2 linked regions of the Xenopus tropicalis genome follow. The protein of the gene in region 1 purifies or fractionates together with the protein of each later gene. This does not show direct contact. Links are inferred from orthologs where the notes say so. Each region holds a gene or a part of one and is shown in the gene's direction. Other genes may lie near its edges.

What was found. The genes of interacting proteins can lie anywhere in the genome.
Region 2: the proteins of etaa1 (region 1) and atr purify together in Homo sapiens (affinity purification with western blotting; 3 studies listed by BioGRID, with this or other methods). This does not show direct contact. The link is inferred for Xenopus tropicalis from reciprocal best matches to the Homo sapiens genes ETAA1 and ATR.

What each region holds. Positions count from the first base shown.
Region 1 is NC_030681.2:30,916,650-30,925,564, reverse strand, and holds the start of etaa1 (ewing's tumor-associated antigen 1), read left to right. Parts: upstream 1-3,671; 5' UTR 3,672-3,704; coding exon 3,705-3,783; intron 3,784-5,295; coding exon 5,296-5,436; intron 5,437-6,810; coding exon 6,811-6,890; intron 6,891-7,792; coding exon 7,793-7,893; intron 7,894-8,851; coding exon 8,852-8,915. UniProt on the Homo sapiens protein: Replication stress response protein that accumulates at DNA damage sites and promotes replication fork progression and integrity.
Region 2 is NC_030681.2:119,608,938-119,617,101, reverse strand, and holds the end of atr (serine/threonine-protein kinase ATR), read left to right. Parts: coding exon 1-74; intron 75-868; coding exon 869-1,025; intron 1,026-1,916; coding exon 1,917-2,070; intron 2,071-2,395; coding exon 2,396-2,547; intron 2,548-5,121; coding exon 5,122-5,227; intron 5,228-6,328; coding exon 6,329-6,502; 3' UTR 6,503-6,887; downstream 6,888-8,164. UniProt on the Homo sapiens protein: Serine/threonine protein kinase which activates checkpoint signaling upon genotoxic stresses such as ionizing radiation (IR), ultraviolet light (UV), or DNA replication stalling, thereby acting as a DNA damage sensor.

The sequences.
Region 1 (8,915 bases):
CCATTGAGCCCTATGGGAGACTTTCCTTGGGCCGGGTTGGAGCTGCAGAGTGCCATTGAGCCCTATGGGAGACTTTCCTTGGGCCAGGTTGGAGCTGCAGAGTGCCATTGAGCCCTATGGGAGGCTTTCCTTGGGCCGGGTTGGAGCTGCAGAGTGCCATTGAGCCCTATGGGAGACTTTCCTTGGGCCAGGTTGGAGCTGCAGAGTGCCATTGAGCCCTATGGGAGACTTTCCTTGGGCCGGGTTGGAGCTGCAGAGTGCCATTGAGCCCTATGGGAGACTTTCCTTGGGCCGGGTTGGAGCTGCAGAGTGCCATTGAGCCCTATGGGAGACTTTCCTTGGGCCGGGTTGGAGCTGCAGAGTGCCATTGAGCCCTATGGGAGACTTTCCTTGGGTCGGGTTGGAGCTGCAGAGTGCCATTGAGCCCTATGGGAGACTTTCCTTGGGTCGGGTTGGAGCTGCAGAGTGCCATTGAGCCCTATGGGAGACTTTCCTTGGGCCAGGTTGGAGCTGCAGAGTGCCATTGAGCCCTATGGGAGACTTTCCTTGGGCCAGGTTGGAGCTGCAGAGTGCCATTGAGCCCTATGGGAGGCTTTCCTTGGGCCGGGTTGGAGCTGCAGAGTGCCATTGAGCCCTATGGGAGGCTTTCCTTGGGCCGGGTTGGAGCTGCAGAGTGCCATTGAGCCCTATGGGAGACTTTCCTTGGGCCGGGTTGGAGCTGCAGAGTGCCATTGAGCCCTATGGGAGACTATCCTTGGGCCAGGTTGGAGCTGCAGAGTGCCATTGAGCCCTATGGGAGACTTTCCTTGGGCCGGGTTGGAGCTGCAGAGTGCCATTGAGCCCTATGGGAGACTTTCCTTGGGCCGGGTTGGAGCTGCAGAGTGCCATTGAGCCCTATGGGAGGCTTTCCTTGGGCTGGGTTGGAGCTGCAGAGTGCCATTGAGCCCTATGGGAAACTTTCCTTGGGCCGGGTTGGAGCTGCAGAGTGCCATTGAGCCCTATGGGAGACTTTCCTTGGGCCAGGTTGGAGCTGCAGAGTGCCATTGAGCCCTATGGGAGGCTTTCCTTGGGCTGGGTTGGAGCTGCAGAGTGCCATTGAGCCCTATGGGAGACTTTCCTTGGGCCGGGTTGGAGCTGCAGAGTGCCATTGAGCCCTATGGGAGACTTTCCTTGGGCCAGGTTGGAGCTGCAGAGTGCCATTGAGCCCTATGGGAGACTTTCCTTGGGCCAGGTTGGAGCTGCAGAGTGCCATTGAGCCCTATGGGAGACTTTCCTTGGGCCAGGTTGGAGCTGCAGAGTGCCATTGAGCCCTATGGGAGACTTTCCTAGGGCCAGGTTGGAGCTGCAGAGTGCCATTGAGCCCTATGGGAGTCTTTCCTTGGGCCAGGTTGGAGCTGCAGAGTGCCATTGAGTCCTATGGGAGACTTTCCTTGGGCCAGGTTGGAGCTGCAGAGTGCCATTGAGCCCTATGGGAGACTTTCCTTGGGCCGGGTTGGAGCTGCAGAGTGCCATTGAGCCCTATGGGAGACTTTCCTTGGGCCTGGTTGGAGCTGCAGAGTGCCATTGAGCCCTATGGGAGACTTTCCTTGGGCCGGGTTGGAGCTGCAGAGTGCCATTGAGCCCTATGGGAGACTTTCCTTGGGCCAGGTTGGAGCTGCAGAGTGCCATTGAGCCCTATGGGAGACTTTCCTTGGGCCGGGTTGGAGCTGCAGAGTGCCATTGAGCCCTATGGAAGACTTTCCTTGGGCCAGGTTGGAGCTGCAGAGTGCCATTGAGCCCTATGGGAGAATTTTTCTTGGGCCGGGTTGGAGCTGCAGAGTGCCATTGAGCCCTATGGGAGACTTTCCTTGGGCCGGGTTGGGGCTGCAGAGTGCCATTGAGCCCTATGGGAGACTTTCCTTGGCCCGGGTTGGAGCTGCAGAGTGCTATTGAGCCCTATGGGAGACTTTCCTTGGGCCAGGTTGGAGCTGCAGAGTGCCATTGAGCCCTATGGGAGACTTTCCTTGGGCCGGGTTGGAGCTGCAGAGTGCTATTGAGCCCTATGGGAGACTTTCCTTGGGCCGGGTTGGAGCTGCAGAGTGCCATTGAGCCCTATGGGAGACTTTCCTTGGGCCGGGTTGGAGCTGCAGAGTGCCATTGAGTCCTATGGGAGACATTCCTTGGGCCAGGTTGGAGCTGCAGAGTGCCATTGAGCTCTATGGGAGACTTTCCTTGGGCCAGGTTGGAGCTGCAGAGTGCCATTGAGCCCTATGGGAGACTTTCCTTGGGCCAGGTTGGAGCTGCAGAGTGCCATTGAGCTCTATGGGAGACTTTCCTTGGGCCAGGTTGGAGCTGCAGAGTGCCATTGAGCTCTATGGGAGACTTTCCTTGGGCCAGGTTGGAGCTGCAGAGTGCCATTGAGCTCTATGGGAGACTTTCCTTGGGCCAGGTTGGAGCTGCAGAGTGCCATTGAGCCCTATGGGAGACTTTCCTTGGGCCAGGTTGGAGCTGCAGAGTGCCATTGAGCCCTATGGGTGACTTTCCTTGGGCCAGGTTGGAGCTACAGAGTGCCATTGAGCCCTATGGGTGACTTTCCTTGGGCCGGGTTGGAGCTGCAGAGTGCCATTGAGCCCTATGGGAGACTTTCCTTGGGCCAGGTTGGAGCTGCAGAGTGCCATTGAGCCCTATGGGAGACTTTCCTTGGGCCGGGTTGGAGCTGCAGAGTGCCATTGAGCCCTATGGGAGACTTTCCTTGGGCCAGGTTGGAGCTACAGAGTGCCATTGAGCCCTATGGGAGACTTTCCTTGGGCCAGGTTGGAGCTGCAGAGTGCCATTGAGCCCTATGGGTGACTTTCCTTGGGCCAGGTTGGAGCTACAGAGTGCCATTGAGCCCTATGGGTGACTTTCCTTGGGCCGGGTTGGAGCTGCAGAGTGCCATTGAGCCCTATGGGAGACTTTCCTTGGGCCAGGTTGGAGCTGCAGAGTGCCATTGAGCCCTATGGGAGACTTTCCTTGGGCCGGGTTGGAGCTGCAGAGTGTCATTGAGCTCTATGGGAGGCTTCCAAAATCATGCTAAGTCTGAAAGTTTTGCCCGCAGGTTACGAGCGCTCAATACGAAAAAGTTGCGACAAGATACGAGCATATCGTAACGGCTACGAAAAAGTGGCGACTATTCGTGCAAGTCGTAACGGCTACGAAAAAGTCGCGACAATTTACGAAAAAATCGCAAAAAGTACGAAAAACTCGCAAAACGTTCGTTTTACAATCGGAATTTTTCCCATTCGGATTCAAATTCGTGTCTTAGTAAATCAGCCCTATAATGTGTATTGCCCTTTAGTGAGGCAAAGACTCCAGTGGAAGCCATTGAGTTATAGCCAGTACCCACCTGGCAAAGAAAAAATGTAGGTTATTTGTTCTATTGAGAAAACATAAAGTGCTAAGTTTAAGTCATATATTTGTAGCTGAGTCAGTGGGCATATTATTGGGAAAAAAAACCCAAAATACATAGAAAGTAGCCACAGCCTGCCATACACACAGCAAACTACCGGCTTGTCATTACATAACACATACAGAGGATTGCCCTCATTCCCTAACAAAGCTGTACGTACCGCGTCACCGCGCTTATAGACGTATTCGTGCGCCGCACTCTCGCGAGATGAGACTTGTGACGTCAGTACTCGGTGCCAGGCAGGAGCTGCTGAGCTGGATGTTACCGGAGTAGCGGGATGTTTAAGCAGCGGTGCGGGGCTGCGGGCTGTGTAAGGAAAGTTGGGACTGCCCCGCAGGAAGCGGCACTTTCCGGGGGTAGGCATTTCTCTGCAGCGGTTCGCTCTCTATTGTAAATGGGTTGAAAGACTCTACTTCCGGTGCCTGGAAGATTGTAAATCTGCTGCGGGTTTATGTGCGGAGGGTAAAGCTGCTCTGTTAGTTTTAAAGAAAAAATCGCTTATTTAGTTAGAGAAGAGCGTTTCACTGCTGCCAGTGTTGGTATCGCTGTGCCCTGCCCCCATCCATCCCTTAGCCGCAAGCCAGGGGGACCCTGAACCCCAGGAGAGCTTCTGGGGAGGGAGAGATTTGTACCTAGAGGAACAGTCCCTATGGCCGTCCTCTGGAGTTGCCTCTGTGCAGGACAGGCCTACCCTACTACTGACAGCCTGACCTGCAGACGTGCATAATAAGAGTCCTGCCATCTCCTTGGTTCTTCTGTACTTCTTCCCTTGGTCTAAGTCTCATATACATTATAGGAACTTTTACTTTACTTGGATAAATGGGAAAACCCTAACCCTGTAGGCAGTTATGAATAATATATGGTGTTGGTTTCACTTTGGGCTAAACATTATTGGAGCTCCCTATAGATCCACTCAGGTCCATATCTGTGTTTCAAATGAAGGGTGGGCGTGTCCTAACGGTCCCTGCCAGAAGCACAGTAAGAGGGGGAGAGCCAATCACAGCCCTGCAGTCACACAAGCAAAGACAGGCTTCAGTTCCCTATCAGGTCAGCCTAGCTGCTGATTGGTTCCTATCCTACAGTGCAGGGTACGGAGGGCCGCCGGCTCCCCAGCTCATCCAGAGAATTTAGCCAGCAGGAAGTGGAACAGATGGGCGGGGCTAGTGGGGTTTTGGGCGAATTTCTCAATAAATCAGTCAGAAACACAACTTTTTTAAGCACAATCCTTCTATATCTAGAGGAGTATAATTCATTGGTACATTCATTATTTTTATAGGATATGTCTCCTTTAATGAAAGGAGAAGGAAAGCCTAAGTCACTTGGGGGTGCCAAATGTTAGGCACCCCCAAGTGACTTTAATCGCTTACCTTGTATCCTGGGCTGGTGCCCCTGTTAGGAGAAAACAGCACCAGCCCGGGGTACCTGCAGGGAGTGTTTCCTCTTCCTCTCTCTTCTGCCGGCGAAATCCGTGGGCCGGCGCATGCGCAGTAGAGTGAAAAGCCGACTTTCTTGTTTAAGTTTGGCTTTTCACTCTACTGCGCATGCGCGCGCGGCGCTACAGGAAGGAGGAAGCGCTCGCTGCTACCCCGGGCTGGTGCTGTTCTCTCCGTACAGGGGCACCAGCCCGGGGTAAAATGTAAGCGATCTAAGTCACTTGGGGGTGCCTAACATTTTGGCACCCCCAAGTGACTTAGCCTTTCCTTCTCCTTTAAGGGTACTACAGAACATGTACTGTATTTGTAATGCAATATAAAGATATAATACTGAGTTCTGTCAGTTTTTGATTCATTCATATACAGCCCATTGTGTTTCTAGTGTGATGAGTGCATCGCTTAATAGTGTTTGTTTCTCTTTAACCGTTCCCGTAGAATCAACTTCGTACAAGAAAACTCCAAAAAGGTTGTCTAGAAGCAAACACTCCTCTCCAGCTTTCAATTCTCCCTCCAATGACATTGATCAACAACATGAAATCTTTTGGGATCCATATTCGCCGACAGCGTTTAAAATCGGTAATGTTTGCTGCGTAGGCATATTGGTAATGTTTTGTGCATAGGCAGATTTCATACACTGTCTGAGCAGACTTTCTGCAATCCAATAGTAACAAATACACCCATACAGTTGGGCATTAAGGTTAAATTCGATCAAATTTTCAGGCCAAACTGGTCATATGTATGCAACTGTGTCGCTGATTCCTGTTTTTGCTACAGGTAGCACTGTTACTAGGTTTTCTCGAGCATGTTTTAGAAACTTCTAACCGCCATATTATGCAATTTTCTTAATGGAATTAAAGTGACAGATAAGTGGTGCTCGCAGTTTTCTGAAAACCTGCTTTGTTAAAAATCTGCTCTCACCGAGGTTTACAATTAGCTGTTTCACACACATATTGGGAATTTAATGTTACCTGATGGCTAGGTCCCATTTAACCTGGCAGCCAGTGGCCTAAATGACGTACCTGGAAAAAACTAATCCCTAAATAAATAAGTAGTAATAAAACCTCACTGATCTGCTTTGTTTTAGTTAGTTTACCTTTCAGTTAACATTTATTAGGATGTAGCCAGTGATATACTTAGACAATTTGCAATTAGTCTTAAATCTTTTATTTTGTGGATTTTAAATATTTTAACTTTTTTTTCAGCAGCTCTCCAATTTAAAATAACAGCGATAATAAAATTGCCAAAATAAGGCAAATAAAAACAATAAAAAATGTAGACCAACTGAAAAATTGCTAATAACATGGCATTCTTTAATTCACAAAACATTAAATTAATGGTGAACTACGCCTTTAAAGAAACACTAACTATACATTTGCTAGCGAACGTGATGCTGTAATATAGAAGCTCTGCACCTCTTATATGTGGCTTGGGGATAGTACCTCTGTTCCATTACATATTGGCAACCATACCACTTGAATGCTGAATGGCTGTTTATTTTATTAGCTACATAAATCCTGGTTTTGGTATTTTTGGAGATAATGTTGTACATTGTAGTGTTCATATATAAATAGAAATACAATGCTATAGGCACAAAAATGCCAGTGCAGTTATTATTGGGTGGAAGTTTGTTGCGTGCCAGACCCTAGATATTACCCTTAACTCAAGGCAGGTGTTCAATTTAGGGCTCCCTTGCATATAGGTGCCCTGTACATTGCATAACAACTTAAGAGATGTTTTGGGGCAAGTATAGAGCAGTGTGTATTGGACACACATGGTGTTGTGAATAGAGTTTGAGTGCACAATTTTGCACTTGCCTTACTTCATGAATGAGTCCTTATAACCTTTAAGATAAAAAGGCATATCTATTTATTTTTAGATTTAAATTGATTATTTTTTCCATTTTATGTTTTCAATTTTGCATGTATTTACTGTGAAATTCTTATGCTCTAGAAAATGGAAGAAGAAAAAAACAGACTGCGAGCAAATGTACTGTTGAAATTTCTGATATTGTTAACAGGATAGCTCCAAAGGTAATGAGCTTCAAGGGTTTTAATTGGGCTTTGTTTTTTGGGGTATAATTAAAAACCAACATGATTGATTTTATATACAAATTCCTGTTTTTATTTGTTAGATATTCTGCTGAAAATTGCATTAGGGTAGGTTAAGGCTAAGACGGGGCTGATAGGATGCATGTATATATAGTGCTACTTATGTATGCAGTGCTGCATATAGAACAATTACTGTAGGTCAATACAGTAATAAATACAAAGTAGAATTACATTAAAGGTTAAGTCTGATTGTTAACAAAAGAAGAGGAAGGAGGTCCCTGCCCTGTACAGTTTACGAGTTTTAACATGTGTTGCATTTGTGCACTGTGAGATTCTTAATTTGACATGGTGGAGACAAAACACAAGTATACAGTGACATTACAGAGTCATTTAAAGGCATGTTGGAGAAAGATACTGTCATACATTTGAAGACTGCATTCTTAAATTTGTTGCTCACGTGCATTTCCCAACTGTTGCCTATCTTATGCATAATTACATTGATTTCTGTAGTAATACAGTGTCATTCCTACATAAGAAGAGCTGTCCCTACAGATCTGCAGCTCAGGATTCTTGCTCTAGTTTATTCTGGATACAAAATTGCCCATGTTGCTCTTTTTATTTAGAGACCAACTTACTGGCTCTAATTAGTACTGTGATAGACTGTGGTCCCTCAAATTATTTCCCTAACTGATGTTCCAGTTAGGGAAATATTGTGATTATTGTGCTGTTTAATGTGCATTCTCACAATAAAATACAACCTAAATGTTTAAGCCTAATAATTCAACTTTTATATCATTTACATTTTTAGTGTTTCAGACATAAATAAATCTTCCCTACAAGTAGAATTATATTATATAATATTTTTTTTTTCCTTTTTGTTGCAGAATGAAAAGCCTGCCGCTGCTGCTTATCTTCAAATGTGGATTGGGGATGATGCTATTCCATCAACACCTGTAGTTGCAAGATCAAGGGCAAAAGCTAGCTTGTAAGTATTATGTCACTGTACTATGAAAGTATTTGCATCTCCCCAATGAAGCATAAAGAGTACATTTTCTCAGTTTATGCCAAATTTCCATAAAGTAGATGGAATAGATAGATCCATTTCCATAAAGTAGGTGGAATGGATAGATCTACAGATGATTTATCAGGGCAATGGCACATCGCGTGTGTTATCACCTACTTGACATTCTACTTCCAGATGGTGATGATATAACTAAAAGTAACATTTAAAACTGAAAAGCCTTGAAATGATCCTACCCATTTTTTGCTTGATTCATCTGGAAAGAAAATGCAATTTTTAAGTCTTTTGAATTAAAAGATCTGCATGGCATTTTGTTACTTGAAAGGAGTATGATTTCCTCTAGGCAGTCGCCATTGCCCTTAGGGAGAACCAGGCTTTTGACAATGACCCAATACATTCCTTATGTTGTATAGTAGACTAACAAGAATCACAATGTAGCATAAGGAGTCTTATTAGGTAATTGTTTACATATCAATAATAATGCAAGTTGTAAGGGCTTGTTTTTAAAATTGTTTTGACAGGAGAGGCATTCTATATATTTGATTAACTAAATATAGGCTAACACTGTACATTCTGTAGGTTGTTATGGGAACTTATAATGGTTTTAAAACACTTCTTAGCAGTGAGTGTTAAAACGAATACCTGTTTACATCTATAATGCCAAACATTATAAATGTTTCCGGCACTGCTGCAGCACATGTGGCTGAATAGATGTCAGGAGTCAAACAGGTAAGTAGGGTAGGGGTGAGTTCAGTCAATGTGCGATGTTCACAATTTGAATCTGAGCAAAAATATTTTTGAACAAAGCTAGGGTTAGTTTTATGTTAAGTATTAAATGCTGGCATTTGGTGTAAGAATGATAACACTTTTGTCTTCGTAATTATTGGTCATTAAAGTTTTGTATTATGGCTGTTTCTGTTAGAAGGCCTAGAAGCTTGCATACAGAAGAAGAACTCATGAAGCTGGCCAGACAGTTTGACAGAAAC
Region 2 (8,164 bases), about 89 Mb from region 1:
ATGTGGAATAATAGAGTGGGTGAATAATACTGCAGGATTCCGGAACATATTGATCAAGCTGTACAAGGAAAAAGGTACATAAAATAACCCTTTCAAGGGAATGAAAATGATCTAAAAGCATTGTGTAGGCATTGCGCACCAGCCATAGTGCCTCAATGTCTTAACTGCAATTGTAGGGTTATGGTTACAATAATGGAATATATACAGATGTAGTCCTTTTACAGTTTTGGCTGTCTGTGTACTGGTTCACTTGACACTTTTGCTGTTGTAAACTAAAAATATCATAACAAACAGATAGAAAAGGACTATTGCCCATGTCAATAGCTCAGATTTTTTTATTCTATTTAGAGTTACTTAATTTATATTTTTAGCACAGTCTTTTACTTCTCAGATATGTGTTTAGGCTAGTGGCACATTAGGTAATCAGCCATCTTAGCTCTCTTTTATCTTGCCCCACTAGGTAAGTGACCAACCATGAAGCAGAAGGCATTCATAGACTCCTTAGGGCAATGGCACATGGAACGATTTCAGGCATTTTGAACTCTGTTTTTACAAATAATCTATTGACAAGCAATAGTGGCCTGGAAACTTGCAAGACAAAATCCAGCATAAATACATGATTAAGAAGGAAGTAAATAGAAGAGCAATATCAGGGAATAGATGTCTACTGAAAAAAAGTACTTGTTAAGCTGGACTAGCAGTAGTGCCGTTAGCAAGTAAAGCCAAATTATTACTAGTGCTTGGCATAGGGATCAGATATCATATCATTGCATTTAATAGCACATATAAATGGGCAGATAGGTCAGTCTATTGAATTTGAGTGACAGATGCACTTAGTAACTTGTACTTTTATTTTTACCTTTGACAGGTATATACATGGGAGGAAAGGAACTCCGGCAATGTATGCTTCCCAAGGGAGCACCGCTGCAAGAAAAGCTGAAAGTCTTTAAAGAGGCTCTGTTGCCTCGTCACCCCCCTTTGTTCCATGAATGGTTTTTAAGAACATTTCCTGATCCTACTTCTTGGTCAGTAAATATATATCGCTAGTAACCTTATTCTTTACTACAGGGGTACACATATCTACACTGTCCTATATGTATTGTTTTGTTGTAAACTGTTAGCATTTATACCTGAAACCATGACTATTTTTAGTAAAGTAGTAAAGTATTAGTAAAGTATTGTTCTTTTATTTATATAGTGCTGACACATTTCTGCAGTGCTTTACAGGCAATATAAATCAGTCCTGCCCTAGTTGAGCTTACAATCTAAGTCCTGTTCACACTAATTATGGTTGATTTGAGCAGAATCCAAGTAACCTTCCCCTATGTTTTGGAGTGTGGGAGGAAACACTAGTATCTGGTGGAAACCCACACAGGAAGAATAGAAAAGCTTCTGTCCGTTAGTTCCCTAGTTGGAATTGAACCTAGAGACCCAACACAGCAAGGCAGCAGTGCTAACCTTTGTGGCACGGTGGTGCCTAAAAGAAACCTTTCTAAACATAAATAAAAATTCTGTAGCGTTTACAAAATTGAATTGATCTTCACTATTTCCCCCTATTCCCCAGCAATCTCTCTCTCTCCTTATGTGTCAGTGTAATGAATTAATGCTAGATTTTGATGGACAGTTAGGTCCCTATGCTTCAAAAATCTTAATGTTGTGTATGCACTCAGAAATAGTGCTTTAACCCAGGTGCAGGTATACTGAGTGGAATTTGACATATAACTGCATACGCGAACAGTTTTGCAACAAATTCTTCTTTGTGTGCCAGCACCTGGGCCGATGCAATGGCTCCCCATGCAGGCACAACAATAGGGGTGGATTCTCGGGTGGCATTAGCCTTAGGTCAAATATATCACTTGGCTTGCCACCACTTTTTACTTCCTAAAACGAGTCCATTTGACTTTTTCTGTTTGCAGGTATAACAGCAGATCAGCCTATTGCCGTTCTACTGCTGTGATGTCTATGGTAGGTTACATACTGGGCCTAGGGGACCGCCATGGAGAGAACATTCTTTTTGACTCACTTACTGGGGAATGTGTCCATGTGGATTTCAACTGCCTCTTTAACAAGGTAAGCTTTACATAAATATGAATGACATTAGTATAGGAGAAAGTGTTAGAGGGCCACTAATATAATTGAACCTGTAGTTTATATAACAATATGTCCAAATGCATGGACATTTGAATCATGCTGTTTAACCACTATACATTTATTGCTTAGGTACTAGTGAAAAAATGACTTAACCTTGTGTTATTTGTACTTTACTGATATAATTGGGTATCAAGACAGAATACACTAAAAAATTAAATGGTATAATATAAAAGGTAAATATTTGATTAAAGTATTTAGTTATAGATTGCAGTTGTGTATAAAGGACAAATTTGTTTTTAATTAGGGTGAAACATTTGAAGTTCCAGAGATTGTCCCCTTTCGCCTAACTCATAACATGGTCAATGGTATGGGCCCCATGGGGACAGAAGGACTTTTTCGACGAGCATGTGAAGTCACTATGAGGTTAATGAGAGACCAGAGGGAGCCACTTATGAGGTAATCTTTTAGTGGTTTTATTTTTGTATCCGTTATGTGCTGCAAGTAGGTCGGCACCAGCTATTATTGTGCAAAAACATTCCAACTCACTTATTCTCACTTAATCTAAATCTAGTCATGGCTACAGAGGGCTGTTTGTTGTAAATAATTAATGTGAAGCGCTGTGTAACTTGCTGTGTTTTTCATACAGTTTACTGGATTTTTTTTCTTAATATTTTTTTTATGTTTGGTCAGAAGTATCAGTTGGATGCTGTAGAGAACTGAACAGTTTATGGCCACCATTAGTGGGTTGCTCCAGGCAAAATCCCACACCTCTAAAGGTCCCCATACACGGTAAGATCCGCTCGCTTGCCGAGATCGCCAAGCGAGCGGATCTTCCCCCGATATCCCCACCTACGGGTGGGCGATATCGGGGAGCTTGAAGTTAAAAAAAAAAATAATCCGATCGTTTGGCCCTGGGGCCAAACGACCGGATTATGTAGGTGGCAATGGGGCAGTCGGTTCGGGGACCGCATCAACGAGCCGATGCGGCCCCCGATCCGACTGAATCTTTTATCCTGGCCGATTGATATCTGGCCAATTTCAGGCCAGATATCGGTCGGCCAGCCCGCTCGTTTCTGCCCCTACATGGGCAGATAAGCTGCCGAGTCGGCCCGTGTATGGGGGCCTTAATAAATTGAAATTACTTGTACACTATTAGAGTTTGCGAGACTCATGTTTTTTCATTTTCAAACACAAATTACTCTCTTGTATCCTCTCGTATGCATACTCAAGCTTCCACCCCCCTCTCTCTCTCATTCGCACAGATCTCTCACAAAGGCACATGCTTGCTCCCTTTCTCAGACACACAGAACTCTCTGCAGAATCAGGCTTTCTCTCTTACTCTCTCACAGTGGAAAATCTATCAGGACAGCAATATAAACACACTTTTTTCTTTCAGTATCTCTCTGTCTGTTGCTCTGGGTTTATTGGGTGGCTGCAGTTTCTCATCTCGCTAGAGCTAACAAATAAGCAGAGGGCATGTACGAGGTTGTGATGGAGGCACTGGGAGACAGATGTTGGCCTAGGTTTTGGGGCTGTACCAATTAGCAGGTACAATATCTAAGCAGAAGGGTCCAGATCCAGACTCTATAACAGCACCTATTCTTCTTGGAAGGCTTTCCACTATATGTTGGAACATTTACTAATCCACGAATCCGAATGCGAATGGGAAAAATTCAAATTGGAAACGAACATTTTGCAACTCGAATTTTTTGCGATTTTTTTCGTTGCCGTTACGACTTTTTCGTAGCCATTACGACTTGCGCGAATTGTCGCGACTTTTTCGTAGCCGTTATGATTTGCTTGTATATTGTCGCGACTTTTTCGTATTGAGCGCTCGTAAACGGGGGGCAAACCTTTCAGACTTTGCATGATTTTAGAAGCCTCCCATAGTACTCAATGGCACTCTGCAGCTCCAACCTGGCCCAAGGAAAGTCACGATACTGAAGCTTGAATGAATCCGAAACTTTCGTACTCTGCGCGACGGCTACGAAAAAGTCGCGACAATTTACAGAGAAATCGCAAAATACCGATCATTACGGAAAAAAACGCATTTGGACGCTTTTCGGACATTCATGGATTAGTAAATGTGCCCCTAAGTCTAAGTTAGCTGTGATGGCATGTACGAGGCCACAGGAGGGCACCAGCAATATATAAAGCATATCTATAAGAAAACTCTGCATGGATTTTAATGCATGGAACTGTAGTGAATGGTATATATGTTTAATAGATTAGGTGTTGCATTAGTTGAACATTACATTCCCTTCAGTATCAACATGTTTGTACAGTAATCTTAATTTGTCGAAAATCTTAGGCTTATGGCACACCAGATATTTAATACTCTGTTAATGTCATTGAGTGTAATTGCAACTGCCTGTCGGTTTGTATTCCCTCTTGGGCTTCTACATGTATATTTCAGGTCCCAGTGCTTTGCAAAAGTGTGCATTTTTGGATCTGAAATCTAGGTGCGACAGTCAGTTGCTATTAGGCTTAGGGCACATGGAGCATTGACTCCATGAGAAGCTTGGGTGCAGGCATATGCAGCAGAGCAGAGGTTGGCCCAAAAATAAGAAAGCCATTATTTTCGTCCCGACCTCTGCTCCACTGCATGTGCCTGCACCCAAGCAGAAGCTGTACTTTTCATTGTGTTTCATAGAAATTACAATGATCTTGTGTAAGGGCAAGGGCAAACGGGTTTATTGTCAGCCTGCAGATATGAACAGGCTGACAAAACCTGTACGCTTGAAAAAAATCTTCCTGTGCCTGCACCTAGAAGCATTGAGTGCAGGCACACACAGCTAATATCTGTTAACAAAAGCCAGACTGGGTGTTTGTGGGTGGATATCGGCTGCGTGTGTCTGCACCCTGGCGAATTCAGTGCTTCCGGGTGCAGGAACAAGAAAAATTTTAAAGCATACTGGCAGGTTGTCAGCCTACGCTTATCCAATCCACCTTGTGTGACCTTACCCTTATGTGACAGATGCACATCAAACTGCCATAGGGTTAAAATGGGGTTGTGTGTGTTTATTGCAGTGTGCTGAAACCCTTCTTACATGATCCTTTGGTGGAATGGAGTAAACCAGCAAGAGGGGGAAGTAAAGGTCAAGTCAACGAGACCGGAGAAGTGGTGAATGAAAAGGTTGGTGTTGTATAAAGTTATATATGTACCTCATGCCGTACAGTATATAAAGGCTCATTTCATTAATTTAAGAATAAGCTTTCTGGGAATGCACAGGTATGTATGAGCACAGAAAAAAAAATCTGCTGCTGCACACCATCTCCTGCTTCTCTCTGCATTCCCAGAAAGCTTCTTGTCTGTCAGGCAGGCACAGAAGGCTCTCCTCTTTGACTGCTCTGTAGTCAGAGAGATAGGGAGCGCTGAACAGGAAGGTAGGGGGGGCTTCATGCTTGTAAAAACAATGTAAAAAGCTACTTGTTGTACCTGTTAAATCACTTCTTTTGTCTATCTGATCAGTTTTCTGAAGGGATGGGAATGGCCTATTTTGAACCTGACAAAATGCTTACATCATCACTTCCAGGCTTTGCTTTTGCTTTTTCCCTGTTGGACCCTTCTGCACTTCTAACCAGTTGCATAAACTGAAAGGCCATTGGTTAATTTCTCCCTTGCAATGATTTAGGCAAACAGACTCAGCATATTGCAAATCTAACATACTGTTATGTTGCACATTTTATGTTAACTATGTATGTTGCAAAGATTGTTCTATTAATGTGATCTGTGATTTGTGAATGTTGTCCAACAACCCCTTTAAGGTGCGGCTCCTACAGCAGCTCAGTGCTGCATCATTTGAGATACATGAAGTTAAAAAGCTTGTAAGTGCACCCCCGTGTCCTGCCTTACATTACAGATTCAGATTGTACCAAAATTCACTAGCTAGTACAAATATATGTGCTAGTTTGTGGAAGGGTGCAATTATGCTGTACTTCTGGGGAAAACGATTTACAAAAAATGTGAATTGAGCTTTTTTTTGTTTTTTTTATTTTTTGCACTTTAACACAAAATGTCTAATTTATTAAACAAATGCAGCCTTCTGATTCAATTTAAAACTTGCACAGTTAATGAACATTGCCAACTACTATACAGAACTATTAGCAGTGATCAGTAAGAATGTCCTTGTCAATTTGCTCTAAATTGCACTGTTGCTGTTTCTCTAGAAAAAATCCTTTTAAACTAGAATGACCATTATTTGTTTTGTTTTCTCACTTTCTTACTTTCTGTTAGGCCAAAACACATGTTCTTGACATAGAGCAGCGGCTACAAGGTGTAATTAAGACTAGGAATCGTGTAAAGGGACTTCCGCTCTCAATTGAAGGACATGTCCATTATCTGATCCAAGAAGCCACAGATGAGAACCTTCTTAGCCAGATGTACTTGGGGTGGGCACCGTATATGTGATGTTGCTCATGTGGAACATCTCTTGTTCTGTCAGATTTTGAATAAGTACATTTGTAATTAACTGTAGATGTATATTTGTTAGAATACGTGTTCTATCATTTCTGGGTTGAGTTACAAGCATATAAGGAACAAAATATGGAAACTTTAAATGTTTTCCTTTCAAAAAGGTTTGAAAATGTCTGCTGTTTTAGGCAGAAAATACCTGTTTATGTTATTACAATAGAGTACGATAGTTACAATACATTACAGTAAATGGTTTTCTTTTGCTGGAGATGCCATGCATCTGTTAAAACATTACAATAAAACATTTTGTATAGTATTTTCTGTATAATATGTTTCTGTTTTGGAACACTTTTTTGAAAAATAAATAATTTCTAATAAGGTTCTTCAGTCTAAATTGTCATTGGTATAACTAATCATGAGAATGTTGGATGCCTTTACAAAAACCCCTAGCCATGTATGTACAGTATTACCTGTTGAAGCCAAATATCTACAGGATTACTAAGTTGATGATATCTTATGTGATAATGGGTGCTTTTTACTCACAGACACTCTACTCATACACCAGCAACACCAGCCTTTTTGTGAGGCCATTATTGGCATTGAAATTCTGACTTTCTGTGACATACTCATGAGGTGCATGGGTACCAACTTACACATATTTAAACTCTTTGGGGTTAAATATTGAAAACATCTAGGGATTCTGTGGACCAGGGATGAGAAGAATGCAGCCCTTTAGCAGTCTGAGAACCAGATTATATTAGGGCTGTGGTTAATAAATCCTACCCAACACACATCAGTATCTAGTATCTTCAAAAGGGTTATACAGTATGAACTTGTGATTCATTAAGAGGGGTATAGATGCCTGACATGAATAAGGGGAAGAGGACTGCATATAAACATAACAAGGTCTATAGAAGGATCTGTCAAGGGAATTCTATTTCCAGAACAATCCAAATGACACAGATTCTTAAAATTGTAGTGGAAGAGAGCATGGTAGTATTTTATCTTCCCAATCCCTACTGTCAAACAGTAGAACACAAATAATTATTTTTTTTTCTATTTCAAATATGAATTAAATACATTTTATGCAAAATATAAGGGACAGAATACAAAGCAACTAATCATAATTTTGATTTTGTTACTAAAGTATAATTGTTATTTGATGGCTATGAGTTATAAAGCATGAACAGTGAACTGCAATAATGCCGAAGATGGTCGAATGTTTCTTTGGCTGCATAAACAAATATCCTCCATCGATGGCACTCACTACTCCAACCTCAAATGCCGGTTGCTCCCCATAATTTTATGGCTCCCATACAAATAATGAACAATAAAAGAGACCCTGTAACATGCACACGCCAATAATCAATATATATATATTTTGTACTATATATTTTGAAGTTCATGTTTCCTTAAGGGTGAAGACACACTGGGCTACTAGTAGCAGCTACTTTTTCAAGGCTACTAAACTCCAGAAAATATCCTGCCATAGGGCGATTAATTGCGGCAACTTTTTGGACATAAACTATAATGGCTGTCGCGGTGACTAATGGCGTGCGCATTTTCGTTGTGCGAATTAGTTGTGGCGACCAATCGTGCGTTTTTTCTGCTGTGTGGATTAGTCGTGGTGACTAATCTCTCTGTGTGTCTTCGCCCATA